Linked DNA regions of Lepisosteus oculatus. The protein of the gene in region 1 binds, or shares a complex with, the protein of each later gene. Links are inferred from orthologs where the notes say so. Each region holds a gene or a part of one and is shown in the gene's direction. Other genes may lie near its edges.

The links.
Region 2: pola2 (region 1) and prim2 share a complex: the UniProt entries of both Homo sapiens proteins name them as parts of the alpha DNA polymerase complex. The link is inferred for Lepisosteus oculatus from reciprocal best matches to the Homo sapiens genes POLA2 and PRIM2.
Region 3: pola2 (region 1) and prim1 share a complex: the UniProt entries of both Homo sapiens proteins name them as parts of the alpha DNA polymerase complex. The link is inferred for Lepisosteus oculatus from reciprocal best matches to the Homo sapiens genes POLA2 and PRIM1.

The regions. Positions count from the first base shown.
Region 1 is NC_090713.1:19,518,597-19,528,379, forward strand, and holds the start of pola2 (DNA polymerase alpha subunit B), read left to right. Parts: upstream 1-3,855; 5' UTR 3,856-4,093; coding exon 4,094-4,181; intron 4,182-6,595; coding exon 6,596-6,720; intron 6,721-6,831; coding exon 6,832-6,926; intron 6,927-8,970; coding exon 8,971-9,028; intron 9,029-9,783. UniProt on the Homo sapiens protein: Accessory subunit of the DNA polymerase alpha complex (also known as the alpha DNA polymerase-primase complex) which plays an essential role in the initiation of DNA synthesis.
Region 2 is NC_090712.1:19,997,067-20,007,229, forward strand, and holds the start of prim2 (DNA primase large subunit), read left to right. Parts: upstream 1-5,731; 5' UTR 5,732-5,839; intron 5,840-6,336; 5' UTR 6,337-6,344; coding exon 6,345-6,492; intron 6,493-7,039; coding exon 7,040-7,152; intron 7,153-8,730; coding exon 8,731-8,825; intron 8,826-9,749; coding exon 9,750-9,870; intron 9,871-10,163. UniProt on the Homo sapiens protein: Regulatory subunit of the DNA primase complex and component of the DNA polymerase alpha complex (also known as the alpha DNA polymerase-primase complex) which play an essential role in the initiation of DNA synthesis.
Region 3 is NC_090696.1:20,929,003-20,939,663, reverse strand, and holds the start of prim1 (DNA primase small subunit), read left to right. Parts: upstream 1-5,859; 5' UTR 5,860-6,015; coding exon 6,016-6,136; intron 6,137-6,712; coding exon 6,713-6,870; intron 6,871-7,109; coding exon 7,110-7,216; intron 7,217-8,166; coding exon 8,167-8,240; intron 8,241-8,631; coding exon 8,632-8,768; intron 8,769-9,498; coding exon 9,499-9,557; intron 9,558-9,844; coding exon 9,845-9,956; intron 9,957-10,466; coding exon 10,467-10,550; intron 10,551-10,661. Other genes in the region: probable E3 ubiquitin-protein ligase DTX3, read right to left, coding at 2,082-2,094. UniProt on the Homo sapiens protein: Catalytic subunit of the DNA primase complex and component of the DNA polymerase alpha complex (also known as the alpha DNA polymerase-primase complex - primosome/replisome) which play an essential role in the initiation of DNA synthesis.

The DNA.
Region 1 (9,783 bases):
GGTGACACCCGTCGGGTGGATCAAGCAGTACTTCTTGCCTGCATTTTGTTTCCCGGTTTTACTCAACCTTGGCTCTCAGTTGTTTTTCAGGGAGGGCAGGGGAAACGGAAGGCGAGAGAGGAGAGGTGGCCTTTGCAGTGTCTTCTGTACCCTTATTGCATTTTATTGGCTAGCGGGATTGTGTTAGACATAGCGTTTCTCGTGTCTGCCACTGTAAAGAGGGGCGTTTCCCCCCGTCCCCCGTCCCCTCTCCTCCTCCGCTTCTGTAGCGTCTCCGAATTTCCTCCAAACCGCTCTGAAACTCTGGGAGGGGGTGGGAGGTGCGTGTTTGCACCCACTTAGGCAGATCCTCACCAGCGGGTGCTGTCGAGAGAGATAGCTGGCGCGACCTGCGGGCGCCTTTCCAAAACAGAGGGCGGCGGAGCACTGAATGTTTCAGCTTGCTACTGGATCTTACTGTTGTAGATTTTGAGTTCTTCTGTTTGTTATTTTGGGATTCCAGAATCGAAAGCGTTTTGTTTTTTGGCGGGGGGGGGGGTGGGTGGGTGGGTGAGTTGATTTTCTGCCGAATCATATTTGGAGCTTCCCTATGGGTTGTGTTTTTTGTTTTTGTGCGCGTTTGTTTTGTATCCACTAATAAAGCCACCTTCGGTTTCGGATTCTTTTCCGCCTCGATCTTCTGCCGTATGAGGTCAATAAAACTCCCTTTGGATTTATTTCACGATCATCTTGTCTCAATTTTTCCCACGTAGAAAACAGCGTTGTCTCAGGGCCTACTCCATTATGGGCAGTACGAGGTAATGGAGCAGAGTTTAATAGGCCATTATCATAGGATCCCCAATAAAGTGTCTGCCAGCGAGCGTTCCCTATAATCTATAAAATATAATCTAGAACCTTGGAAGGCCGCAGATCGCTTTCCCCAGAAGGGGTTAAAACCGGGACCCGGATTTCCGGTAGGGATCACGGTGCGGCACGGCGGCGTGGATGAGCTATTTCTTGAGCCGTACTTTGGGAGGACGCCGACACGGAGAGCCCGTTTTTTTTGGGGTGGCGTTTTAGCGCCTGCTGGGGAAAGCGTTTCCGAGGCCTTCCGAGGGAGGTCGGACTGAAGGAACTAGTTCCGACAGAACAGCCAAGAGGAATTGGGAAATTAGATTATAGACAAAGCTCATTGGCATACCCTTTAATTGGGGATCCTATTATAATGGCCTACTAAATAATTGGCGTACACTTTAATTGGGGATCCTATTATAATGGCCTATTAAATTATAGGCAGTGCTCATTGGCATACCCTTTAATTGGGGATCCTATTATAATGGCCTATTAAATTATAGGCAGTGCTCATTGGCATACCCTTTAATTGAGAATCCTAATATAATGGCCTATTAAATTATAGGCAGTGCTCATTGGCATTCCCTTTAATGGGGGATCCTATAATAATGGCCTATTAAATTATAGGCAACGCTCATTGGCATACCCTTTAATTGAGAATCCTATTATAATGGCCTATTAAATTATTGGCGTACACTTTAATGGGGGATCCTATTATAATGGCCTATTAAATTATAGGCAGTGCTTATTGGCATACCCTTTGATTTAACTATTAGAATGGCCTGTTGTAGTTCTTAAAGCCTAGATGTGGTTTTCTGCCAAGACACTCTTCACTTGTCCCGTAGGTGTCTTGCAGTGCTTCGAAGCTGTGTGAGCACACAGGGGAAGCTCTTTTGAGTGCCCATGGGGGTTAGTCTCCAGTCGTGGGAGCCCTCCGGTAATCTAGTGCAGGGTGCTAGTCTTCTACGCGCCCTAAGGGGGGGAGAGGGGGGCACTGGTCTCGGGCCAACAAGTCGATTGTACTTGTGAGCGTTTCGTGTCTTGTCTTCGGGGATAAGGTGGCATTCCTGAGGCTGGTGTGCCGGAGATCCGATATTTCCCCCCCCCCTCCTCCCATTCCACAGAGAGTTCTTCTCCTCCCAGTCTGGGGGCTGCGGTGTGGGCGTTGAGGGGGCCGCCAGCTCGGAGCACCTGTGAGGTCTCGTCTTGTTTCGGGGTTGTTTTTATTTTCTACGATGTAAATAAAATGTAGGAGAATTTCAAGCCCTGCGCACATCCTCGTTTTTCTGTACTTTTTGATTATATTTTTTAAATAAACCAAACTTCTTTGGCTGGGAAAACCGGTGTGGAGTGCGTTTTCTTTAAACACCTTTCTGCGTGTTGGCCTCTCTCTAACGGGCACGTTAACCTTCAGAAATCGGGTGCCTTTTTACCTAGTTCTCTGGGAAATGATGTTCCAGATTTGTGTCCAGTGTTGGTATCAAAATTTGTATTAATTAGTATTATTAATTAATTAAATATTTGAATTAACAATTAGCATTGTCAGTATTAATAGTATTAGTACTAATCATTAATACTATATATATAGTTCTTAAAGCACTTTTGAGTAAGATCATGAAATACACTGCTCCAGCACTGAGAGAGACAGAGAACAGGCAGGTGAGCCACTACAGACGTCATACTGTCTCCCCACTGCATCATGGGAAATACACTGCTCCAACACTGAGAGAGACAGAGAGAACAGACAGGTGAGCCACTACAGACGCCATACTGTCTCCCCACCACATCATGGGAAATACACTGCTCCAGCACTAAGAGAGGACAGACAGGTGAGCCACTACAGACGTCATACTGTCTCCCCACTGCATCATGGGAAATACACTGCTCCAACACCGAGAGAGAACAGACAGGTGAGCCACTACAGACGCCATACTGTCTCCCCACTGCATCATGGGAAATACACTGCTCCAGCACTGAGAGACAGAGAGAGGACAGACAGGTGAGCCACTACAGACGTCATACTGTCTCCCCACTGCATCATGGGAAATACACTGCTCCAGCACTGAGAGAGACAGAGAGAGAACAGACAGGTGAGCCACTACAGACGTCATACTGTCACCCCACTGAATCATGGGAAATACACTGCTCCAGCACTGAGAGATGGAGAGAGAACAGACAGGTGAGCCACTACAGACGCCATACTGTCTCCCCACTGCATCATGGGAAATACACTGGGAAATTGAGATGGGGAAAAAGATCATGAAGACAACTGATTATGAAATCAGCTCAGTTAAAAACAAGGGTTTAGAATGCAGTAGAAGAAGCAGGCACAGATGCCAATGACATAAAGTCCTTCTGATAACGGAGAAAGAATGGAGTCTGGATTTGAGGGAGTTTAGAGAAGGTGGCTGTGATATCCTTGGGGACAGAACTCCAGAGCTCTGGGGCGCAGCAGGAGAAGACCCTGTCGCCCCCAGAGTGTAGACGAGCTTGGGGGGGGACAGACAGGAGATCAGAGTCAGAGGAGTGAAGTCTGAGGGGTGGAGGTGATGGAGACACCATGAAAGTATTGCTGGGAGTCTTACGAATCTTAATCTTTAATCTTAATCTTACGAATAGTTTAGTAAAGAACTATTCTTAAAATGTATGCATACAATATTTTATTTAGTTAAATCTCCATTTGGCATCCTGGCCAAATTTCCCCCCTGGCCTTTTCCCATCATGGCCTCCTAATAACCCCCCTCTCTGAACTGGCTCCATCACTCTGCTCTCCTCCCCACTGAGAGCTGGTGTGTGGGGAGTGTCCAGAAAAGCCCTATATAAGTGTAAGCAATTATTATTATTATTATTGTTATTATGTTTTGTTAATGGTTAGAAAGCATTTAAAAAAAAACCGTACCTAAGCAATATGGCCGTTGGATTCGCCCACCGAGTCTTTTACCTATCTAGGCGTCTTATATCGATGGTCTGGGCCACGCCGGAAGCGCGGCGTTCTGATTGGTTGCTAGGGGAGGTTGTCGTAAAGCGTGACGACGCCGGCGGGAGATTCTCTTTTCGCGGCAAGAAAAAAAAGAGAGAGGACGGTGCAGCTGGGTTTGTAAGAAGGAGCATTGCAAAAAAAAACGATTCCAGAAACAGGCTGTAATTCGCAGACTCAGCGCAGGTCGTGAGCGGTCGCCTCCCTGCAAACGGCGCGGAGAATCGCCCCCGTCAGGGTCCGGATACTCGCAGCCGAGCTGGGCGCCCTGCAGCCGGGCGGAAGATGGCAGCCGTCACGGCCGAGAGCATCGACACGGAGCTGAAGACCTTCGATATCGACTGCGGCGAGGGATCGGCGGTGCTGGACAGACGTGAGCGATTCGTCTTCATTGCTGGGTCCAGTTATGGGGTGATCTTGCTAGATCGCTGCGCATTTTTGGGGGGGGGGGGGGTGTTTGACCTCTCACCCGCAGTTAAACCCCCCTCTCGTTGCTCGGGGTGCGGGGGAGTCGTTTTTTTAAAAAAAAATATTGATGCATAAGCAATCACAACGATTAGAATACAAGCAAGTCACATTTCAAGACAAAAACATCGCCGGTGGGGGGCACATAGGACCAAATAAATTCAAATTATAGAAAAAGTTGGAACACATAAAATAAAGATCACGTCCGCACCGCTTTCATGTTTTTTACATCCAGTTTTAAAAATGCTCAAGCAGAGGAGTCTTCCCAGACCGCTGCATTTTGTGTATGAAATAACGGGCCGTTATACGTTATTATAATTAAATTGATGACGGATGATGTTTTAGTATTGCTTCCGATGGGGCTGAAACTTAACATCGTTTTCTTTCAAACAAATGTCAGTATTGGGCTCTTTTTTTCATAGGAGTGTGCGACTCCGTCCAGAAAGTTTTTTTTTTCTCCATGGGACTGAGGCGCCCTCTGAGCGAGTGCCTGTGCCTGAAACAGGGACAGCTTTTCTCTTCGCCGTCCGACAGCATCGATGTCATAACTGGAAACTTCTGACTGAAAGCAATACTGCCAGCAATACATTAGGCTTCAGTCAGTTAAAAATATAGTGCTGGAGCAGTGTATTTCCCATGATGCAGTGGGGAGACAGTATGGCTTCTGTAGTGGCTCACCTATCTGTTCTCTCTCGGTGTTGGAGCAGTGTATTTCCCATGATGCAGTGGGGAGACAGTATGGTGTCTGTAGTGGCTCACCTGTCTGTTCTCTCTCAGTGCTGGAGCAGTGTATTTCCCATGATGCAGTGGGGAGACAGTATGGCGTCTGTAGTGGCTCACCTGCCTGTTCTCTTGTCTCTCTCAGTGCTGGAGCAGTGTATTTCCCATGATGCAGTGGGGAGACAGTATGGCTTCTGTAGTGGCTCACCTATCTGTTCTCTCTCGGTGTTGGAGCAGTGTATTTCCCATGATGCAGTGGGGAGACAGTATGGCTTCTGTAGTGGCTCACCTATCTGTTCTCTCTCGGTGTTGGAGCAGTGTATTTCCCATGATGCAGTGGGGAGACAGTATGGTGTCTGTAGTGGCTCACCTGTCTGTTCTCTCTCAGTGCTGGAGCAGTGTATTTCCCATGATGCAGTGGGGAGACAGTATGGTGTCTGTAGTGGCTCACCTGTCTGTTCTCTCTCAGTGCTGGAGCAGTGTATTTCCCATGATGCAGTGGGGAGACAGTATGGTGTCTGTAGTGGCTCACCTGTCTGTTCTCTCTCAGTGCTGGAGCAGTGTATTTCCCATGATGCAGTGGGGAGACAGTATGGTGTCTGTAGTGGCTCACCTGTCTGTTCTCTCTCAGTGCTGGAGCAGTGTATTTCCCATGATGCAGTGGGGAGACAGTATGGTGTCTGTAGTGGCTCACCTGTCTGTTCTCTCTCTGTCTCTCTCAGTGCTGGAGCAGTGTATTTCCCATGATGCAGTGGGGAGACAGTATGGCGTCTGTAGTGGCTCACCTGTCTGTTCTCTCTCAGTGCTGGAGCAGTGTATTTCCCATGATGCAGTGGGGAGACAGTATGGTGTCTGTAGTGGCTCACCTGTCTGTTCTCTCGGTCTCTCTCAGTGCTGGAGCAGTGTATTTCCCATGATGCAGTGGGGAGACATTATGGTGTCTGTAGTGGCTCACCTGTCTGTTCTCTCAGTCTCTCTCAGGGCTGGAGCAGTGTATTTCCCATGATGCAGTTGGGAGACAGAATGACGTCTGTAGTGGCTCACCTGTCTGTTCTCTCTCTGTCTCTCTCAGTGCTGGAGCAGTGTATTTCCCATGATGCAGTGGGGAGACAGTATGGCATCTGTAGTGGCTCACCTGTCTGTTCTCTCCAACTCTCTCAGTGCTGGAGCAGTGTATTTCCCATGATGCAGTGGGGAGACAGTATGGCGTCTGTAGTGGCTCACCTGTCTGTTCTCTCTCAGTGCTGGAGCAGTGTATTTCCCATGATGCAGTGGGGAGACAGTATGGCGTCTGTAGTGGCTCACCTGCCTGTTCTCTCTCTGTCTCTCTCAGTGCTGGAGCAGTGTATTTCCCATGATGCAGTGGGGAGACAGTTTGACGTCTGTAGTGGCTCATCTGCCTGTTCTCTCTGTCTCTCTCAGTGCTGGAGCAGTGTATTTCCCATGATGCAGTGGGGAGACAGTATGGCGTCTGTAGTGGCTCACCTGTCTGTTCTCTCTCTGTCTCTCTCAGTGCTGGAGCAGTGTATTTCCCATGATGCAGTGGGGAGACAGTATGGCGTCTGTAGTGGCTCATCTGCCTGTTCTCTCTGTCTCTCTCAGTGCTGGAGCAATGCATCTGTCACCGCCTGCAGGCGGACACTATCGTCCTGGAGTGGGTGGCCTTCAGCACGACCAAGAGCGGCCTGACCCTCAGCTTGGAGAACCTGGAAGTCTTCGAGCATGAGGTGAGCGGACCCCCGCCTGTGCGCGCTGTCGGCGAAGTCCACACCCCTTGAGGAGAGGGGAGAGGGCAGCTCCTGGGCGTGACGTGTGTCCGTTCTCTCCCTGCCTCCCAGGTGCTGAACAAGAGGACCTCCAAGTCGCGGCCCAGCCTGGCCAAGAAGGACCTGCGTCTGGACAAGCCCAGGGACTTGCACTCGCTGCAGGAGATGTATCCTTCCAGCCAGGCGGCAGCCTTTCTAGGGAGATCCGGGGTCTCCGGGTTAAATGATCCTTTCATTTGGCCAGCTGAATTGGTTATGGGGATTTGCCGAGTCATCAACAGTCTTGGATGGAGTTGGCTAGTTGAACAGGATTTATCAGAGTTTGCTGAGTCATCAGTAGGTTTGGATGGTGTTGGGCAGTTGAATGGGATTGGTCAGAATTTGCTGAGGGCCACCAGGCTATGCTTCATCATTTCAGTAGGTGGTTCGTATTTGAGCCAGAGCTCATCCAGTTTTCTAGGCAGGAAAATCCCAGGGCGTTTCTCGAGAAGAGTAGGGGTGTTACCCCGGTGTCCTGGCCAAATTTACCCCCCTGGCCTTTACCCATCATGGCCTCCTAATAACCCCCCTCTCTGAACTGGCTCCATCACTCTGCTCTCCTCCCCACTGAGAGCTGGGGTGTGGGGAGCGGACTGGCGCCTCATCCAGGTGGGGGTACACACTGCTGGGGGTGGAGGGGATCCCCATGACCTGTAAAGCGCTTTGAGTGGAGTGTCCAGAAAAGCGCTATAGAAGTGTAAGCAATTATTATTATTATACCAGTCAGATGCGGGGGCATCTAGGACAGCGAGCTCGTCCCTTTTCTCTCAGGAGAGTGAAGAACTAGTGCAGTTGGCCTGCGCCGCAGTCTTCCGGCGCTCAGTGTTCAAAGGGCAGCTGTAACGCTGTTTTTAGATTTCAGGGTTAGAAGGAGTCAGGGCTGATGATTGCCTCTCAAACCACAATGAAAGTCAGTTGGACACAGTGGCTTGTAAAACCTCCAGTTGACATCACAAACGAGAGGACGTTTCCAGGTCTGCGATTCAGAACGAGGCAGCAGGACTTCCGGTGAGGTGAAGCGGCCCTGTGACCCTGTGAACAAGTAGGCTTGTGAGTCCAGCTCTTCTGATCCAGTAGAAATACTGCTCTCCTCTTCCAGACGGTTTCACTGGCAAATACTACTCACTGGTGAACTCTGCCTGCGGATCACGCTGGAACATTTCTGTGGTGAAATGTCTGCTGCACAACCTGGACTTATTCACTCGTACATCTCAGTGCATTAGTCAGTACAGGGACTAGTGAGCAGGAAGGGCTGATTCACATCTCAGTACATTAGTCAGTACAGGGACTAGTGAGCAGGAAGGGCCGCTTCACATCTCAGGACATCAGTCAGTACAGGGACTAGTGAGCAGGAAGGGCCGCTTCACATCTCGGTACATCAGTCAGTACAGGGACTAGTGAGCAGGAAGGGCCGCTTCACATCTCGGTACATCAGTCAGTACAGGGACTAGTGAGCAGGAAGGGCCGCTTCGCATCTCAGTGCATTAGTCAGTACGGGGACTAGTGAGCAGGAAGGGCCGCTTCACGTCGCAGTTCTCATGAGCTCTCGCCAATGTGGCGACTTGCAGTACTTTCCCTAAATTCACGGTTTTGTGCTGCATTCGGAATTTGTCAACATGTTCTAGAACTCATTTTATTTTGTCACGAGAGAAAGTAACCGGTGTGAAAAACTGGGACTACGGTTCCCCTTGAGCGATCGAAAGGCGACAATTTCAGGATCCTCCCGGAAAATCACTCTGCCTCTGCCACTGGAGTCCAGGCAAAAATCTGTCGGGAGCAGAGGGACTGAGACACGCTATCACAGCCCCGGACAGAAAAACGCCCAGATAATGAAAACTGCTTGGGTGTGTTCCTCCCAGACAAGCGATCAGAGGGCAGAGTGGAGAAAAACACTGCATTTTATTTGGACTCGCGATTTTTTAAAAGATCTGTGCCTTTGAGTTTGGTGTCCGCCCCAAGCGGGAGGGGCTACTTTACCCCAAGAGTGGCGGGAGTCTTGAACAGATGAACGGATTGTCACTTTTTTGATCTTCCGGTCCGGTGACGAAGCTCCATCGCTGTTCCAGACACCCGCTACCCTTTACGTTGAGAGGGGAGTGTGTTTGTGCAAAGACCCGTTCCTGAGAGTTTGTGCAGGGCAAGATCTGCATTTTCTTTAACTTTGGATGCCAGGATCCAGGCAGAAGAAGAAGATGAAAGCCTCATGGATTATTATTCCACCCCAGCGAAGGTGAGAGTCCAGGCAAACATAGGGAGCACCCACGAGATTGTCATTGGTGTCGTTATTGATCCTTTGATTCAGGTGCCAACACCTGGATCCCGAACCGCATATTTGTCGTAAGGCATAGAAGGGACCGTTTATGTGTTGGTATCATTCTTTTCAGGCTACAGCATCTTTTCAAAACATTTTTCTAGCTGGTGCAGGACGTCAGTGTATTTGGAGGTGAAGTCTGCCTGTTCAGACACGCTCCATCTTTACATGAAGAGTAGAGGGTGTCTGGAACAAGCTGGACACACTGGAGCACATCTGTATTGCAGAACACACGTGTATGTCAGGGCTCTGAGAACTATCTGACCGAGTGTGTGTGTGTGTTTCAGGACTCTCAGGACTATCTGACCGAGTGTGTGTGTGTGTGTGTGTGTGTGTGTTTTAGGACTCTCAGGACTATCTGACAGAGTGTGTGTGTGTTTCAGGACTTTGTGAGTGTGTGTGTTTTAGGGCTCTCAGGACTATGTGTGTGTGTGTGTGTGTGTGTGTGTGTGTGTTTCAGGGCTCTCAGGACTGTCTGACTGTGTGTGTGTGTGTGTGTGTCAGGGCTCTCAGGACTGTCTGACCGTGTGTGTGTGTCAGGGCTCTCAGGACTGTCTGACCGTGTGTGTGTGTGTGTCATGGCTCTCAGGACTGTCTGACCGAGTGTGTGTGTGTGTGTGTGTGTGTTTCAAGGCTCTCGGGACTATCTGACCGTGTGTGTGTGTGTGTGTGTG
Region 2 (10,163 bases), on another chromosome or scaffold:
AACCGACTGATTCTGTGTGACAGGAGAGTAAGAGCATAACAAATACTCGAGAGAGATGAAAGGACAGCAAATTCAAAATAATTTGAAACGTAATTTAAAATATAACTGGGAATGAGCATGTTTGACATGATTTTAAATTACTTAAATTATTAAAATGTGATTGAATACCATTCTAATTAAATAAATGTAATAATACTTTTACAGTCCGTAATTACAAGAAGCGCCATTTCTTTTTCTGGCATGATTCTGAGCTCATTCTAAACAAACTTAAACACTTGTACAGTGTGCTTTGGTGTGAGGATCCACGTGTATTTAAAATATATTAACAGAAAAGCAGTGTTCCATTTCTTTTTCTATTTGTACTTTTTAAAAGACACTTTATTGAGTCACATCAGTGCAAAAGATTAGAACATAAACAGGATTTTCAACGAGGAATTGAGATAATCTCCAATTCACAAAGCCAATCTTCAAAAGCGATCTCACAGACACTTAATGATCGTGTGTGATGAAAGCAAGTTTTTAATCTAGTATTGATTTGCTGGGCTTCATGCCACTAATGGTCTCTGGGTGGGTTTACATATGTTGGGTGGAGAAGCAGAGTGGGACTCGAGTTTTGCTCAGAATGCCAAATCACGTGGGTTTTTGGCTGCGGTGCATCGCAAGCACAGAGGATGCAGTCCCCTGTGCGTTTACACTATCTGTGCACACAATGTTACCTCCAGCTTATTGCAGGTTATACTTGCAGTTTCTCCAATGAACCAAACATCAAAATATTCTCTGCCTCTTTTAACCATCTCTGTTTTAAAATCTTCAGCATTTCACATGCTAAAAAGACTGACTTCACACCTCTTGCCAAATTGTGGTATTTCACTCCATTTTAATATCGCTGTTTTTTATTCATATTTCCAGTGCATTTGATATCCGAATTTAAAAATCTTAATTAACTCCATTAGACCTCAATCTTGTATTTGTTTAAGCCATCAGTATAAATACCTGAAAGTACAACTTCTGTCACATATACAGCCCTAAAGTGATATTTTATACTGTTCCTTGGAGTACCATCTACAAGGGGACGATTACAAATTAGTGACAAAAATACTTCTAACAGCTGTGGGTGATGCAGCCAAAGCTGTTTCTGTGTTATTCGCTGTGTAATTGCTTAAATATGGGGCGTGTTCATTACACAGGGAATATGTATGCCAAGATGGCAGGGTTCTTTGTCTCCAAAGAGAGACTGAGCAGGAATACTGGTGTTAGAGGCAGTTGCTATGGTAACTCTCGCTAGTGGGGAAAGCCCGTGTTACAGTGAATATCACTTTTCCCCAGCCAGGGAGTCTGGGAGTTTGTGTCTGTGTCCTTATTCCACTGGAAAAAAGTATAATTGCTTAACAGCACCAAAGTATCAGAAGTAAAAAAAAAAGTAACCATCCTTAAAATTCTACCCCTGAAAATCTGCTATTAACCTGAATTACAAACCAGTTACTTTTATCCGATGCACTATTTTTCACACACCTAGTTACAGTCACAATGTTCTTAGAATCCTAGAACAACTCTAGGATCAAGTGTTAAAAATGAGAAATTCTGATTTAAAACTGGTTTTAGATTCACTTAACTGTGCTAAACTACTAGATGCATCCTACTCATCTGATCTAGAGCAAATCGCAATAAACACAGATGACTCAGATTACTTGCATCTTTATTATTTTCAAACTCAACTGCAAGTATCAATATCTGCACTGTTAATTCCAAAACCTCGGGTTCAGCTTCAGAAGCAGCCGTTTCTCAAAATGGTCACTGTCCAGTCTTGCTCCCCTTGGGCTCAGCAAGACTGCAGTAACACTGTTGAGCCTCTCACAGGCAGCCCGGGCAGGTAGAGAGGTGGGGACCTGATGGACACCTCTTCGACTATGGAAAAGGACCTCAGAAGATCCATGTGGAAGATCCAGCCTTCAATCTCTCTGGCACTTGCTTGGGAGACTTCATAGAAGTGAAAAAATACTCTTTACGGGAGGAGCTGATCTGCAGCACAAGGGGGTTCAGCAAGATCTCCATCTGCTTCCTGAGGTAGCCCGACCTGTATCATGCAATGAACAGTTTATCCATCCTTTCATTTTTAACCGCTTCATCCAATTCAGAGTCACAGGGGAGCTGGAGCCTATCCCAGCAAGCAGCAAGTCCAAGGTGGGATACACTCTGGATGGGACACCAATCCATCGCTTGGCAGACAGACACACACAGAATCTCATGCACTCGTACCAGGGTCCAAGCCAATTAACCTATCAGTATGTTTTTGGGCTGTGGGAGGAAATTCACACAAACATGGGGAGAACGTACAAACTCCACACAGACAGCACCCCAAGTCTCACACTGAACCCAGGGCCCAGCGCTGCAAGGCACAAATGCTGACTACTGCGCGACTGTGCCAACATCCGTTTATTTTCTTACAGAAAATGAACACGCTGCTGATGCCACACAAATGTGACATTAAGAATTATATGAAATGTAAATAACTTAATTAGAAAATTATTGAATGCCATTAGATAATCAGCATTCAAATCTAGCAGATACATTTCCATAAATGCCCAAAGGAATGTTAACTGTGATCAAATTTTAAACTATCTGCACATAAAGTTGCTTTGCTCATTAAAATTAGGGCCATAATAAACATGTAATAAATTAGGAATCTATGTTCAAATGCATTAATATTTGGATAGCAGTTAAATGTTCAAAAAACAAGTACCAGCTTAAGCTGATACAGCCAGGGGATGGGGGTGATGAGAACAAATTCATAGAGGGGGATTATGGTAGCCATTAATGTAGCCAATTCATAGAGGGGGATTATTAGGAGGCATAGGAAATTTGGGCAGGACGCCGGGGTTACACCCCTACTCTTTTCGAGAAACACCTTGGGATTTTTAATGACCACAGAGAGTCAGGACCTCCGTTTTACATCTCATCCGAAAGACGGAGAGCCAGCATCACTGACTGTGCTAATTAAAGAGAGACTCCGTCTCCTTTTCTGATGAATGAATTGTTCTCGGTCCAAGCAAGGTTTTGGTTTTAAACTTTGGCAGGAAGATATCACCGGAGATTAACTCCGGATTCTTAATGCCCCATTGAAGAGCCTTTACCAGTGGGCTCCAGAGTTAAGAGGGAAGTTTGATCATCTGAGGTTTGATTCCAACAGATACAGTATGGACCGCAGCCGCCTGAACTGTGTGTTGGCCTCAGCTTGAAGAATTTTCAGGGCTTTTCCAGCTGGGTCCTTGCGAGTAGCATACTCAGCCAGGATGGCCATCTCTGCTGGATGTAATCTCTAAACAAAGGTTATGAACATATGGACAAAAGAAAGAAACTATATTCACAGAAACCTTGATCTTCTAACCTGATCACATTGTTGTAAATATTTTCACTGGATGAACAGAATGATTAACTTTGGATGAACACAGTATAATTTTAGTTATAAACAGTATAAGATTAGCTAAGGTTTCGATATGGACAATCTCAGCTCCTAGAAATGGATAATTGGAAATGGCCAAGTAAAAAGAAAAAAATCAGCATTAATTGTTTCCTAGAGGCTTACTGTATTGTAAGACCACATGTGGTGATTAAGCAACATCAACTTAATAAAGGTTTTGGTACTCAGATTCCGTTGATATTATTGCTGGTACAGCAGTTTTTAAACTACAATCCATGTGCATTGTGATATTAATGCAAAAAAGCCCACGTCTGAATTACTGGAATATCTTAACACTAACCTACTTACATGTATACAGCATACTATAAAAATGGTATTTCTCATTACATAGAAAATACAGTCTTACGCCGCGAGGAGGTTTGAAGAAAATAATAAAGAAAAAGTACAAGACAACCACGCGTAGGCCTGTTAAATCTGTTCCTTGCACTTGGGGAATTTATTTCCGTTTTTATTGAGGAAGACTATGGGATTCACATTCTCAGATTCCGGAGAAATGCTGTTAGTTAACTGCGTTTGTCGCGGAAGTCATCACACATTCTGGGAGACTTTATAATCCTGTTTCTTTTATGAATGACGAAGGATTATAGGGGAAGGTATCAATCCTTGTAGAGTTAGCTTCGGGAACTCAGACAACTGAATTGAAACCTAACCAAATGTAGCTTGCTACAGAAATCAAATCGTTTAATAGAGAAAAGAATCGTGTGCATACCATCACGTGTCTTTAAACTCACGTGGAGGTGATATACGCCTCACTTCCACAGCCCTAGGGAAGCAGAATGTCCTCTGCTGTTTTTGAGATCAACAGATCTTTCAGGTAAGGTCACGAATGAACCACACACGCTACCCTCCATCTTCAACCCGAGTCACAAGTAATTCTTCCGTGTTCTCTTTAGCGCTAAGGATCTGCTTGTTGATTGGCTGTTGTAAAAATCAATACGGTGTCCGATTGGGCAGCCGAACAGGACGTCACTACGCATGCGACTGTGCTTTACCCAATCAGAGCCCCGCACTGGGGTCGTTTTAATCCTCCTCCTTTCCGCTGGTGCCACTACATAATAAACTAATTTCTAATACGTAATAGGTTTATTCCATGCTGAAAAAAAGAAGAAAGAGAACACAAGGTTTCGGCCGTGGAGCCTTCTTCAGGTGTCCTTCAGGTGACACCTGAAGAAGGCTCCACGGCCGAAACGTTGTGTTCTCTTTCTTCTTTTTTTCAGCATGGAATAAACCTATTACTTGTTCCTTTGCAGCCTACGCATGCTGACGCAGCTACCCACCTGAACTACTAATTTCTAATACAGTGCAATACATTTGTAAGTACTGTTATAAGCTAGAGCCACCTGAGAAACAGCTTTAATTGATGGTAGGCTAAAAAATAATGTGTTCGAGCCTTCATCATTATCAGCTGTTTTTACAATTTACAAATCAGGACATCGTTTATTAATCGATACGTGCTCTGTGCACTGTCTTGGTTCGGTACATCACTCTCTCCGGGGAATGGAGAAGGGAAAAAGACGAATTTCTAGTCTATGTCCAGTCACGGTACCCCGTAGAAATCTGTACCCTCCTCCAAAATGCACACGGTATAGCTGGAAATTCGGTGTTTATGTCTACATTGAAAAGTGAGATTTTTTCTCCCGTAAGGCTAAAGGCGCAACAATGTAAGACACTGTTAGTACGTCTAAGACACAATAAAAATTATTAAAGAATGGGTTGTTACAGTACGAAAAAAACATGCTAACTTCAGGCTGTTAAAACAAGCTTCGTATTTATCACTCACTATCTTGAGTATCTGTGCAAAAATAAGACACCTCGTGTCTTGTGAAATAAAATCCCTTCTTTTGTGATGTTACTTCAAATACCCTCATTGCCAGCGTCGCCAGTCACGGGGCAGTGGAAATCTAAAACACCATATCAACAGATAACACCATTTTATCACAGAGTTTTCACAGTAACAAATCCAACTTGAAGTTTAAGGCAGACATAAAGACGGTTTACGACGTCTAGACACTGAAATGCGCGCCTTCTTCAAGCCAGAACGGTAACAACCTCACATCTGTTTCTATTTCAGAGTTTCTTGATACCAGTTTGATCACTTCAATTGAAAAAGCAGTCACAAAAAGCAACGTCTTTAACGCCACCAAAAAAAGCAACTCCAACTCCAAAACACACTTGTCAAAGTTCAGTCACGTGTTTCTTTAGCGCGACACAGTCACACTTCCGGAGGCGGGTTCTTGGGCACGACCGCTGTGATTGGCTTGTTCAGATGATGGCGTCACTTACGCGCGCTTTGGGGGAGCTGCTAGTTGGCGGTAGTTGGAAGAGCAAGAGAGAGGAGAAACGATTTGGATAATTGCGGTTGTGAGTAGCAATATTTTATCACAATTGCGTAGTGACAAAACCACCTTGATATTATCCATTCTGCTTGTGTGTGGAGTCGGTTTGCATGGGGGTTCTCTTTATTGTCTTGCAAACTCCTGTTGCTTTTTCTTTTCGGAACCATGCCTTGTCGCGATTTATGAAGTCTTTCGATTGTAGCCACGCAACTAATTTTCAAGAATAACGAGTCCCGTGATTGCAGGGCAGGGATAACCCTTAGCTCTTTCACTACACTGCAGTGACATACACCGATTTTCAGGAGGATCGACTTACGTGTACAGGGCTACCCTGAAGCTACTGCTTCACGTTAGTTTTATTTCAGAAGCCTGACGGTGAAAACGAAGCTAGTATGTTGTTTACTTATCCCCTGCAGTGGGTATAAAAGGCAGCATTGTTAGTAATGTGTTAAACGCGATCCTCTCTCTGGGTATACGGTATATGTATATGGTAAATGTGTATGCGCATTTTTTCTTCTTCAGAAATCAACATGGAGTTCAGTCGTAAAAAACACAAGAAGGTGACAGGAGACTACCAGGCAGAGCTCTACGGACACTGTCTTCAGTTCTACAGTCAACCGCCGCTTGAAAACATCCCCCTCTCCGAGTTTGAGACCTTTGCCATTGAAAGGCTGAAACGTAAAAACACAACGTTGTCCATTTGTTTTAAGTCATAAAGTCAAAAGATGACGGCGTTGTAGCAATGACCAATGCGTGTCTTTCTGTGCTGAATGCGGAGGACAAGTATATCTGGGGAACAACCCCAGATATAGTGCGGTGAAGAAGGTTGCCGCCTCCGAGCTGATATAGTAACTGAAATAAGTGCTGACGAAAAAATACATTTTTGGTTACATTAAATGAAAATTATTTCATATTTACAACTGAGCTTGCTTTATAGAAAACGCTGTATTGGTTTTAACTGTACCGACTCCTTTTGAAGTAGTTTTTGAGGGTGTCTGGAAAAGATGGGCAAAGATCTGGCAAAGGGCTTTCCTGTCCCAGGCTGAACCTGCGAGCTCTAGGGAGTGTTTCCCTGTCACACTGTGAGCCGTTGCTGTGGTTCACGGTTACATTACCAAGTGGTGCTTTTATAGACTGTAGATGTGAAGGACTCTGTGCTTTTTGTTACTTAAACTGCAAAAATTAGCTTTTTAAATTTCTCACCTCCCTCAAATTCTTTTTCCAGTTCTTAAGACTGTGGAAAACCTTGGAGTGAGCTATGTGAAAACATCTGATCTGTATATTAAGAAGCTGGACAGTGAGATTAAAACTCTGAACTTTCCATACAGGTCTGAAATGGTAGGTGCATTCTGATTGTTGTAGATGTTGTTTTGACTTGGTTAAATACTGTATACACCTCGAATACTGGCAGTGGAGGTTACTCGGGGAAAAATCAGTTGAAAGAAGTGTAAAATATGAAGTGCACAATGAGGCATTGTAAATGTACACTATGAACAGGAAGCTCCTATATGAAATGTAAAACCAGCATAAAATTTGTGTTTCTCAACCTTTTTCATCCCACAATACACCTCAGTTTGGCACAGTGCCCCTCTCCCAGCACATGCACATGCACACACACCAGGGTCAATTTCCCCAAAAGCCAGTTAATCTACCAGTATGTCTTTGGACTGTGTGAGAAACGTGAGAACTCAGAGGAAACAGGAAACCCCATGTGTACACAAGGAGAACATACAAACTCCACACAGACAGCACCTCACATCTGGAATTGAACCCAGGGCTCCGGCACTACTGGACAGCAATGCTGACCACTGTGTCCCCTTAATATTTAAATAATTTTGAATACTTTGGTTTTTCTCCTGTGGGACTTTTCGGCAGTCCTGTGGACCACTGGTGCAGGGGAGTGAGACTGTGCTCAGAGGACCTTTTTTTAATGCAGCGGTGCGCTGTGTCCCAGTCAAATTATTCAGCAGCATGGGAGAAGCACTCCTCAAGGTTTCATCTTCTTCAAGCCAAGTTAAAAGATGAGCATGCAGTGTTAGTGTTCGACTGGAAGTGCAGTATTTTGTGGTTACCCCCTGGGACAGTAAGACACTGCGGTCTTCTTGGTTTCTGATAGTGTGGGTTCAGTCAGCTGCACCTGGGTGCCACAGGGAAGAAGACAGAGGGGTTCATTAGGAAGTGCATAATTAGCTGTCTGAAGTCTTTAATTTGCATGTTAAATTAACAGATGTTTTATGTTGGCCAGAATAGTCTTTTCCTGCAACTTAAATTAATGATCAGGCTAATTTATTTTAAGGAGTTTTACGAAGCATTTAATTATTCATAGCTTTTGAATTGGAAAAAATGAGCTAAGTTTATTTAAAACTGTCTCATTGTAAGCTGTGCTGTGTGCCTGGAATTGTTACGCATTTAATAACTTATCTGGACTTGCATAGGGGTTGCATGGTTATGGAATTCAGTGCACATATATTAAAATATTGAGATAATCTTCAAATTTATTTCAGAAATACAGTAGTTAAAACATCTTTGGGAAACTGGAATTTGGAGACCCCTTGTGCTTCAAAATGGAACTGCATGGTGCTGTCTCTTCACTCTGGGTGCTCTGTTTTGTGCTTGATGTCCATGTGCCAAATGCCTTTCCATATTATGCACTTCGGTGGTTTAAATAAAAAAATTAAGGAAAGCTTTTGTGCAGCATAAAACAAGCACAAAATAAACATTTATGTATGTTTTAATGCCACAGTTCATGGGGAGAGTCAAAGAGTAATTTGAAGCAAACACTTACTGTACTTATTTCTGGTTTAACTAGGTGCAGTGGTGACCTATATATCTTTTTGAAACGTTTGTCGAATCCTTGAGAAAGATTTGCTATTTTTAAGCCCACATTAATATTCCAATGCTTTCTGACTTATCCAGGAAGAGAAGAAGCCACAAACTGGGCCTTCAGAGTATGAAAAGAGAAGAAAGGACCACATTTCTCACTTCATTCTTCGCCTTGCATACTGCCAGACGTAAGTGTCTCTGCTCAGTGTGCATGAAAACACCTGCCCTCCTGTTGAAAGGAAAACTGCTCATACAACTTGTATAGGGTTTTTTTTAAAGTAAAAAAGGAATGTCACTAATCACAAGCCTTTAAAGCTTTTGTTAATAGCTTTTATGAACCTTACTGAAGGTGCTTCCTTACACATAGGTTTGTGGGAGTATGGTGCAAGCTTCCCAGACCTATGTTGAAGGTGATTGCTTAGCTTCTTTAAAGAACAGGTATCGAAGATCCAGAGCTCCATTGGCTGCTTGCAACCAAATGAGCTGGATAGCCCTAATGGCCTCATTTCTGTTTGTAACTGCTCTTCCAGTAAGATAAGATAAGATTACTTTATTGGCCATATACCATTTCTTGCATTAAGAATTTGTCTTTTCACAGAGCCCAACTTGCTCTCCATGGGATACACAGACAGGGAGAGAAGCTTGGGGTCAGAACGCAGGGTTGACCGTTTAAATGGCGCCCCTGGAGCTGCTGGGGTAAAGGGCCTTGCTCAGGGCATATGCGTGCATTGTGGTATATACTGTAGGCAATAAGAAAAAGTTGTTTTAAACACTTTTGGTTCAACACAATTTGAAACCAGCAACCAGAAACCACAATGAATTTACACTTCATGTAATCAGTCATATATGGATGAATTAATATTCTGAAGGATGAGGATGTCTAATAACGAGCGCAAGTGGCCATGTGCTGACCTGCTCCTTGGCATCTCTTGGGCTCAAGTCTGCAGTTCCGTCCTGCCAGTTTCCTCCTGGGTTCACATGGTGTCTCAGTGCCCTTGGTGAGCCTGCACAGCAGCGAATTGTCTGTGTACCCACGCACGAGCAGAGGTGTTCAGGGACCGGTCGTGTCCTAGTAGGATATGTCCTGATAAAAATGATTCCTCCGTTTCCAGGGAAGACCTGAGGCGCTGGTTTATACAGCAGGAGATGGACTTGTTTCGACATCGGTTTAACGTCCTTCACCCAAAATACAAAAATGATTTTCTGCGGCACAACAATTTAAAGTATGAAAAGGTAAGTTATTGGTTTCTTTCTTCTTCTGATGGGAGCCTCATCCGCTTAGACTTCAGGGGCTGCTTTGTCTTGGAGAGTCTCGTGAGCTGCCCTCTCGGGTGGGTGGGTGGGTCACCTGGTCTAGCATCTCTTCTAACAGGGTGTGGTTGGAAGGATTGACCTTTTAAAGCCCGTTAAAATCCATAGAGCACATCTGGGCGAAGAGAAGAGTTACTAGTGATCATGCAGGCCCTATAGAGGTATTGCAGCTTCAGCTTCTCTGCTGGCCAGCTTGTGCTTCTGAGTGAGCGGGC
Region 3 (10,661 bases), on another chromosome or scaffold:
ACATGTCTTCAGGGCTGGAGCCCAAGGAAAACGGAGCGGTTCAGGACCCCTCCACCAGCAGCCCCTCCAGACGAGACCCCTGCGGCACAGGCTGGACTCGACAGCCCACACATCGCCGGTCTGGGAATGGGTCGTGTCACTCAGCCCCTGGGACCGGGCTTCTCCAGACAGCGACACACAGATGATCTCTGCTGGGCCTGCACTGGGGTTAACCAGCCAGCCTTGAGCCATAGAGAGATGGTCGGCGCTGGGATTAACCAGACAGCATTGAACCATAGAGAGATGGTCGGCGCTGGGATTAACCAGACAGCATTGAACCATAGAGAGATGGTCGGCGCTGGGATTAACCAGACAGCATTGAGCCATAGAGAGCTGGTCAGTGTTGGGACCTAGGGAGCTGGTCAGTGCTGGGATTACCTGGTCAGTGTTGTGACCTAGAGCTGGTCAGTGATGGGATTAGCTGGTCAGTGTTGTGATCTTGAACTGGTCAGCGCAGGGATTAGATGGTCAGTGTTGTGATCTAGAGATGGTCAGCACTGGGATTAGCTGGTCAGTGTTGTGACCTAGAGCTGGTCAGTGCTGGGATTAGCTGGGCAGTGCAGGGATTAGCTGGTTAATTTAAAACAACTGGTTGAGTGTTAAAGCCCTTTGGCATGGCCAATACATACACTATACTTTAATAATTCATTATTAACCAGATCAAAGATTAAAACAGAATGAAGGAAATATCAAAGTCTAATTAATAAAAGTATGAATCCAATTACACGGTCACCTTGTCTAGGATTGAAAAGCCCCGAATAAACGCAATACAATGTGTTCAACACATGATTTTCGCAACACCGAATTCTGAATTAAAAAGGTTTCATTTCTGAGCATTTCAACGTGCGATTCGATAGGGCCGTTGAAATTCTGTTGCTAATTTTATTACTAATATTACTTAACAACAGGTGAAAAACAATATCTACAAATCCATAAACTGATTCGTGAATAGATTAAGAACTAAATCCTGTATGATTAACAGTGGAAACGGAGTTAAAGGGTTTGCAGTTTCCCCACAATTAAGTAACCCGAATGAAATTGAAAGTTATGTTCTCGCTTTTTTATCATTTCTTGTGCGCGAACCGGTCAAGAAAATGTTTGTTTTTTGTGTCACAGCAGTCATTAATGTTGGTTTTTGAACATCACTCATGTCCCTAAAGAATCAACCAACGAAACGAAAAATTAATGTGCCGTTTTCAGATAAATTCCCAGCGGAGCATCTTGCTTTCGCTCAATTCGTTCTAAAAAAGACTGAATTTTTAATACGTCGTGGGGGAAAAGAGGAGTAGATTTGTGTTGATGCTAATCACGCCGGAAAAAAAAAACTTTGCATTTTAAATCAACAGGACCGTAGTCGGGCGTTTGCGCCACGGAATAAAATAATATTTTCAGATTAAAACATAACCGCGGCGTCCCTGTTCGACCGGACACCCGAACCCAGAACGCTGGCTCTGGCGTTGTGAATGAAAAGGAGAAATAACCTTTTTTTCTCTCTCTCTCTCAGAGACCGTCGAGATAGTTTCCCTAATTTAGCCCCAACCCCGCCCCGCACAGCCAGCCCGTCCGGCCCGTCCGGCCGCGGCTCCGACCCGGCGCCCCGAACCCGCTCCTGCCGAACCGCACGCGCCTGATCCGTCACTTCGCGCCAGGCGCCCGCGAGGCAGAAAAAATACCGCTAACAGAGGAGTCGTTTCTTCCGATATATAATCATATATATATATGTGTGTGTGTGTCACATGACATGCTCCTCGTTGGGCTTCGGAGAGCAGCGGTGCCAACAGGCGCTCCAAGGACTCGGCGCAGCGCGGAAGGAGAAGCAGACAGGGATGGTCCTACACAAAGCTCACCTTGCTTGGGGATTATTATTTTCGTCATGACATCGACTGCTTTTATTTTTTTAAAGAATTTTATATTCGGTTCGAGCTCGGGTGACGACGGCGGTGTTTTTCTTCTTGTTGTGTGTGTGTGGTTTCCCCCTTTAAGTCTCCCTTACAATAATAAAGAAAAAACGAATCCCACAGACTGGGATGAATAAAACGTACCTTGTGATCCCATATATATAATCCTTTTGATCGGGGTTTTCTTCCTGTTAGCCAAGAGAAAATAAAAAAAACAAAGGTCATTAGCCAATTTAGAACGCTGTAATTTTGAGAAACTTTAAAGCCCCTCAACAACAAAGACAGACCCGAGGCAGGAACTGTCAAACAGGATTAAAAGGATCGCGCGGCACCCTCTCCTGCAATAAAAATGCAAATAAAATAGGCAATACAGTACATCAAACAAAAACAAGCACACACAAAAACACCTTCGCATTTAAACTTTTGTTTTCTGCAAAAAAACAACAACAAAGGCCTGTTGGAGCCAGTCGGTACATGAAGCCACCAGGTTTTACTGAAACAATTCTTATCGAGCACAAGCTCCAGCAGCCCCAGCAGAGAAGTACCGAATCGCTCACCTACGAGACTGCAGCGCCGACACCGGAAGAGAGCTGTGTATTGTCTTTTCCACGCAAAATGTAACTGAACCCCCGACTCGGGTTTTAGCGTCGCGTTTTCAGGTCTGACTTGCGTCTTTGCATCCCCGCGGAAGCCGACTCGACTGGACCTGCAGGCTTAAAGACCCGGGTTATAGATCGTCCCGCAAGTAAACACTGACACGGTGTCTAGCTGGAGTTGTCCGCGGTGCTCTGAAACCAGACCCCCCCCCCAGCCCACCTGGAGAATTCGATGTGGTTGTCCTTGAGCGAAATCATAACATCATAAAACGACCTAAAGATACACTATCAGTAGTCGCCACGCGTGAACACGGACGGCGATTCGGCTACGGGAAGCCACAAGACGCCGCAGGTCGCTCTCCAGCCCCCGCGATGAGGCTTCGACTTCTGTTTACTCCTGCGATCATGTTCGATTTGTTTATCTTTTTTTTTTTAAAGTCCACCCTCCATGACAGCAAAAAATAAATATATATCTGTGTACACAGTCGGCAGGAAGTTCGTCACCGGGCTCTCCAGGATTGGTCAGAGCTGACGGAGCGGTGCGGCGCCGCTGCGCGCCGGACCTGTGGCTGGAGGGCTGCGGGAGAGCGCACCTCCTCCGCCCGCTCTCCCCGCACAGCCTGACCCGCTTTCCACCGGGCACTCCCTGCGGCGGGGGACAAGCGCATCCCGAGGTCTGCGGTGCGCTGGATAAAAAAAAAGAGTTTCTGTTCCTCCCATCTTGCTGCTATAAGAGATGACTGTGCACTATTTCTCAACGAGCTTCGGCCGTTTGGGGGGAGAGAATCATTTCCACGTGCGGCAATAGCACTCATATTCCGGGGGAGTATTTCCTTAATTTCACTTTTTATTTTTCACAGTCAAGCGTTGTGATGGAAATGAATATTTTTCCCACGTGTTTGAAGCTCATCCATTACTCATTGGTCTAGTGTCTGACACTAACAGTGCTCATTGGTCTAGTGTCGGTCACTAACAGTGCAGACTGGTCCAGTGTCAGTCACTAACAGTGCTCATTGGTCCAGTGTCTGACACTAACAGTGCACACTGGTCCAGTCTCAGTCACTAACAGTGCACACTGGTCCAGTGTCAGTTACTAACAGTGCTCATTGGTCCAGTGTCTGACACTAACAGTGCTCATTGGTCCAGTGTCTGACACTAACAGTGCACACTGGTCCAGTGTCAGTTACTAACAGTGCTCATTGGTCTAGTGTCTGACACTAACAGTGCACACTGGTCCAGTGTCAGTCACTAACAGTGCAGACTGGTCCAGTGTCAGTCACTAACAGTGCTCATTGGTCCAGTGTCTGACACTAACAGCGCTCATTGGTCCAGTGTCAGTCACTAACAGTGCTCATTGGTCCAGTCTCAGTCACTAACAGTGCTCATTGGTCCAGTCTCAGTCACTAACAGTGCTCATTGGTCCAGTGTCTGACACCAACGGTGCTCATTGATCCAGTGTCTGGTCCAGTGTGTTTCCACTTTCTGTGTAAAGTGAAATTAAAGCTTTATTAAAGATGCTTTTAAGTGTAGTGGATCTTTGGATCGTGATACGGGACACTGCTGCAATAAACGCTGCCCTTTGGATGAGACATTCATTTGAGATCCTGACTAGTTAGTCATTACAGATTCTCGGGAGCTGTTCATAAGAGTAAGCTCTGTCAACCTTATAAACCAGATACGCATGAAGTATACTGATGGAAAAAAGAAATGCAACAGCTCCACCTCCACACTCTGGCCCTCCCGTCTGCGTGGAACAGGCTGAAGAGTGACTCATCCGTGAAGAGGACCTGATGCCACTGCTGACGAGTCCATCTGTCTGGCCCAAGCCAGTCGGGGGTGATGTCTAGGAGGTGTGAACGGAGGGCCTGTGACAGGTCGCCCTGCTCTAAGGCCAGCAGTGCGGAGCCTCACTGTCCTGTCACTGATGTGGGCATTGTGTCTGCCAGCAGTTTCAGCAGCAGTACGGGTGGCAGATCTGAACCGACCTCTCAGATGAACCGGTCTGATGTGTCGGTCCTGCTCTGGCGTGGTCACTCAAGGGCGACTGGATCTTGGACGGTCATCTGTCCTGTCGGTCTGCTGAAACCTCCTCTGCAGTTGGGACACAGTGGAGCGGTTTACTCCATAGTGTCTGGCAATGCTGGCACATGACATGCCTGCCTGCAGCATGCCAATGGCCCTCTCCCTTGCTTCTGGTGACATTCGAGGCAATATGGAATGCACAGAAAACTGACTGACTCTGTGGGTTTTTTCTTGTAGTGACCTAACCTTTGAATTAACCTTTTTAAAGGTGACCTGATCAGGCATCGTTCCACCTGGACTTCGTGGGTAAAAGTGCACCTAACGAGCTTTTGTGCGACTGGCAAGTTGCAAGGTCTCACTGTTCAAACTGTATTAATAATAATAATTGCTTACACTTATATAGCGCTTTTCTGGACACTCCACTCAAAGCACTTTACAGGTAATGGGGACTCCCCTCCACCACCACCAATGTGCAGCCCCACCTGGATGATAGCCATAGTGCGCCAGAACGCTCACCACACATCAGCTCTCAGTGGGGAGGAGAGCAGAGTGATGAAGCCAATTCATAGAGGGGGATTATTAGGAGGCCATGATTGGTAAGGGCCAATGGGAAATTTGGCCAGGACGCCGGGGTTACACCCCTACTCTTTTCGAGAAACACCCTGGGATTTTTAATGACCACAGAGAGTCAGGACCTCGGTTTTACATCTCATCCGAAGGACGGCGCCTGTTTACGGTATGGTGTCCCTGTCACTATACTTGGGCATTAGGACCCACACAGACCGCAGGGTGAGCGCCCCCTGGTGGCCCCACTAACACCTCTTCCAGCAGAAACCTTAGTTTTCCCAGGAGGTCTCCCATCCAGGTACTGACCAGGCTCACACCTGCTGAGCTTCAGTGGGCTGCCAGTTGTGAGTTGCAGGGTGATATGGCTGCTGGTATTGCTGGTCAGAGGGCTTAAAACAAATTTACCACTTTTTGTGAAAGATATAACTATAGTATACTCATTCCAGAAAATGCTGCGTTTATTTTTTCCATCAGTATAGATCCCCCCAGTCTTAATGTCAGGTGTTTGATCTGTTCTAGGCAGTGCCTTCTGACGTATTCAGTTATTTGTAATGTGGTAGCCAATCAAATATCAGCGTCCTGGCAGGAAGACATATTGGTACCGTGCGCCGCTTGTGGATTGTGGGAATTGTAGTTTAGAAATGATCTACTCGTAGCAATGAATATGTGAGACACTTGCTTAAAAAACTACATATCCCACCAACCCACGGAGATTGGTTGTGTTGTTGGGACGTCCTCCTCGATTCTTTCCCGCGCTGTTTTGTAAGTGTGCAGCTGTCACCGAAAGCGGAGAAGCGCGTTGTGGGGTTGTAATATTTTTAACGAGAGAGCGATCCAGTTTTGCTTTCTAAAAGCCCCTTGCCACAAACCCGCGCCTGTGTTTTTTTTCTGAAATGCTCAAATTAGCTTCGGCCAGTGAATATGACCCTGCCTCTCTCCCGGATTTGTTACCGCTGTACTACAGGCGCCTGTTCCCGTTCTCGCAGTACTACCGCTGGCTTAGCTACGGAGGCGGTGAGTTTCAAAGCCTCGGAGGAAATGTGCGAAGTCTGTCTGCGTTGTTTTAACTATAACTAAACTTTTGAGTTTTTAGACGTCGGTACCGACGCCAGCAAATGATGCGCAGTTTTCCATTTGCCCCGTCTCGGTGAAGTGCATGCTGTTCAGGAGGCAGTAGAGCGCATGAAATCTTTTTTTTTTCTGAGTACTTAAGCCTCACATAGTCGAAAATCGATATACGTAATGGAATGTCATTTATTGTGTTTTTTTTCCTCTTTTCACCATAGAATAAACCTTTACTTGTTCCTTGGCAGCCTACGCATGCTGAGGCAGCTCCCTACTTGAACTATGTCATTTATTACACCTGTGTGCTCACTAGCTCATAGATTTAGGAGGAAATGTGTGAGACGTGCACTGGAGTATGTCTAGCACGTTTCACATGTGAGGGCAATGGAGCGATCAAGTTGGACACATGCTTTATCTGGGCAAGGTTTGCATGTAACATGTGGCCGAAGTTTTGAATATTAAGGCAAAGTTTGCAAAAGCAAATAGATAAAATTCCTGCCTCTCTCTCTCTCTTTCTTCCGTCAGTGGTGAAGAGCTGCTTCCAGAACCGGGAGTTCTCCTTCACCCTGAAGGATGACATCTACGTGCGCTACCAGTCCTTCAGCAGCCAGGGCGAGCTGGAGAAGGAGATTCAGAAGATCAACCCCTACAAGATCGACATTGGCGCCGTCTTCAGCCACAGGGTTGGTCTGTCTGTTTCATGGGATCCTGGGGTTCTGACTGCCTCACCCGGCTCCCTGTGGCTGGTAGACTTACAGCAACCTCATTTTCAGCAAGATCATCAGTCTTCCAGCCCAGGTCTGAGCTGGTGATGTTGCCCAGATTTCCAGTAGCCCTGCAGACCAGCCGCCTGAGGGGGCAGTCGGTCCGTTTGAGTCAGTCTTGTCAGTGAGTTTGCTCTTGTCCCACTTTCTCTCTGCAGCCGAACCAGCACAACACGGTGAAGTCTGGGACCTTCCAGGCGCTGGAGAAGGAGCTGGTGTTCGACATTGACATGACGGACTATGACGATGTCCGGAGGTGCTGCAGGTATCCTGGAGAGGGAAGCCCTGCGGAGCTGGTGGGGGGGGGGTTGGGTGTGGGGGCCTGCTGACATGTTGGAGCTGCAGTCTTCCACTGTCTCTGTTCCCCAGGGCATATACACCTCCATAAACCCTCCCAAAAGGTCAGCTCTTCCAGGCTGAGGTGTGTGACGTGTTGTAGGAATTGTCGATTTCCAGTGCAGATGCGAGAGAGGGACGAACCCCACTGGCTTCCAGGTCACTCTGCCCAGTCAGCTGGGCAGTTTTTGAATCACTCTGCGCTCCGGTCCCTAACTCTGCTGCAAATCAGGACCAGTCCTCTGGCTCTGCTGGGATTTATTCCCAGTCACTCGGGGCTCAGAACTCAGCTCCAGTCCCTAACTCTGCTGCACAACAAGACCAGTCCTCTGGCTCTGCTGGGATTTATTCCCAGTCTCTCAGGGCTCAGAGCTCAGCTCCAGTCCCTAACTCTACCACACAACAAGACCAGTCCTCTGGCTCTGCTGGGATTTATTCCCAGTCTCTCAGGGCTCAGAGCTCAGCTCCAGTCCCTAACTCTGCTGCACAACAAGACCAGTCCTCTGACGCAGCAGAGCTGTACACTGTCTGGATTTCGGAGGGTCATTTCTGTAACTCAGTTAGCACCGTTACACCTGCACACCTACCAGAGAGACTCTCTTCCGCTAATGTCAGCAGGACTGAGAAAACCAGAGAAAGGTTACACAAAAAAACTGGGCAGTTTCTGAATCCTTCTTGAGTTCAGGACAGATGGGACAGGAAATCCCTGATCCCTTTGTCCCGAAACCCCATGCTGGCTTGGGACAGGCGCCAGGTATTCACCACTTTCCACCAGACGTTGGCGTCCGTGTCTGCTCCCCCCGGGGTCAGAGAGCGGGCCTTTCGGTAAATTCCACACCTGAACGAGAGTAAAGGCTTCCTCTCCCTGTTCTCCTGCAGTGCTGCTGACATCTGCTCCAAGTGCTGGACCCTGATGACCATCGCGATTCAGATCCTGGACAGAGCTCTGAGAGGTAGGGCGGAAGAAGACAGGTGGTCCGGGTTTTATAGGCCTGTATAGTTCTAAACCCGCCGAAGAGCTGGAGAAGAGGTTAATGGTTGGTTGGTGGGGGGGGCGGGGGTATTGAAATAATTAGTTATTTAAATCCAGCAAATTAAGAGTAAGGATGGGTCAGGGTGGGGACATTGTAAAAATAGACCCCCAAAATCTGCAAAATGTTCTGAGCGTGGATTGTGATTGAAAGATGTAGTTTATCAATATATTGGCACATTGCCTTGGCTACTGCTGTAGTCTTTGTTGTGGAGGTAAGAAGGACAGAAATCCCACCCCTTGAGCACCACTGTAGGAGTCTGCCATTCACTCTTCCGAAGTGTAACCAGACGGGCCCTGGTTTCTCTCCCCAGAGGACTTTGGGTTCAAGCACTGTTTGTGGGTGTACTCGGGCAGGCGAGGGGTGCACTGCTGGGTGTGCGACGAGGCAGCCAGGAAGCTCTCGGCGACGGCCCGCTCAGCAGTGGCTGAGTACCTCAGTCTTGTGAAGGTGAGGTGGGCGGGGCAGAAGGCGGGGGGGTCGGGGGTCGGGGGTCGGAGGGGGGTGAACCAGGAGGATGACCTTGACTTCAGTCGTCAAGATCTTCCGGGGAGTGGACTTCCACCCTCAGCGCACTTCAGGATAAACACCGAGAGGTCAATCGGAAGAAATGGCGGATAAGAAACTCCTTACATTGACTAGAGGAGTTAAAATAATTCTAGTTCCTTCCATTCATGTGGAGCTTCTCATGGAAAAGTATCTCAGAGTACTTTTCGTATCGCAGGAGGCTCTTTATCCAGCACTGAAGGGCGCCTGCTGCTTCAGGTGGACTTGGCGGGGGGGTTGGGGAGACCAGACTGTACAGCTCAGACTGGAATTGAGCCAGGATACTGGGGTTGACACCCCTACTCTTGTAAACAGTGTACTAGGGTCTTTAGTAACCAAGTACCCAGGATCTCAGTTTAACATGTCACCTGAAGGACAATTCCTTCAGCTCTGTCCCTAGTCTCTCTACTGGGTGTTTGGTTTGGAGTTTCTGGGCCAGTGTGGAAGTGCGCCCCCTACTGGTGCACCAACGTCACTTATAGCAACAACCTAGTCTTCCTTGAAGACAACTTATGCAAATACAGGAAGAATATACATATTTAGGCTGAATTTGTTAATTCTATCAATATATGAACTATATTCCCTTCAATATTCTGTTGTGAGTAAAGGTGTGCTTCTCTCTGCTTTCTGACAGGGTGGTGAGGACACAATCAAAAAAGTGCAACTGCCTGATCTCATTCATCCCTTTGTCATGTAAGAAAAACTCCCTTTTCTTAAGACTGAGCCATTTTGGTGTGTGAATCTTGGACTTATGCTTTTTCCACATCCTGTTTGTGTGGTAGGGCAGGTTCTTCATCGAATAATTCCTTCGTTTTGATCATTGCATCTTCAAAAAGTACTTATTCAATTAGCAGTTGACACCCTCAGCAGACAAGTGTAACAAGAGTCATCTGATCATGAGGGTTACAATGTTAACTTGCTTGTGTTAATCGCTTGGCTTTAAAAAAGAATGAGAGTGTCTGACTCTGTCTTTTCTGCAGGGAATCGCTGAATGTGATCTCGCGCTACTTTGTGGACTATGCTGTGGTCAAACAAGACATCCTGGGCAGCAAAGAGTCTGTCGACAAAGTGCTGGCCCTTGTGCCAGAAGATATCCTTTCCAAAAACAGCTGCCTGTCTATTCCCCCTTTTCATAGATCAAAGATGTTGCTGCACTAGAATCAGTCCATTAAAGAACAACTGAATATATTCTGCACTGATACAAATGTATCAGTCTGAAGGGGGTGTCCTGCACTAACAGGCAGGAGGAACTGAGTCTCTTTAGTCTGAAGGGAGTGTCCTACACTAATATTCTGAATTAATGTCTTTAGACTTGAACAGAAGGTGAAACACTGAGTAGAGATCACAAGTGGACACCAAGGGGGAAGTCCATTTAAAACTGAGAAAAGGAGGCACATCTTTTCACAAAGGGTGGTGGGAGAGTGGAACAAGCCACCCAGCTATGCTATTGATGATGATGCCTTGGCTACCAAACAAGCTTGATGGGATGAGTGGCCTGCTGTTAATCTCCTCGCCTGTGACCGTTCTTGAGTTCTTGTTGAGTGAGCGTGTATCGCTTAGTTCCCAGAGCTTCAGGGTAGGTCCTTGACTTCCTACCCACATGTGAAGAAGGAGCTGAAGACTGACTTTCACAATGAAAAGAATCCCGTCAAGCGCTGGGATCGCCTGGTGTCTCACGTGGAGCGGGTGAGTGAGGAGATGGCAAAGCCACGACCGCTCCGTCCCTCTCCCAGCGCGTCTGTCCGTCTCTCTCTGTGCGTCTCCGGTGCCGTGGCTCGATCTCCTTGTCCGCAGAGT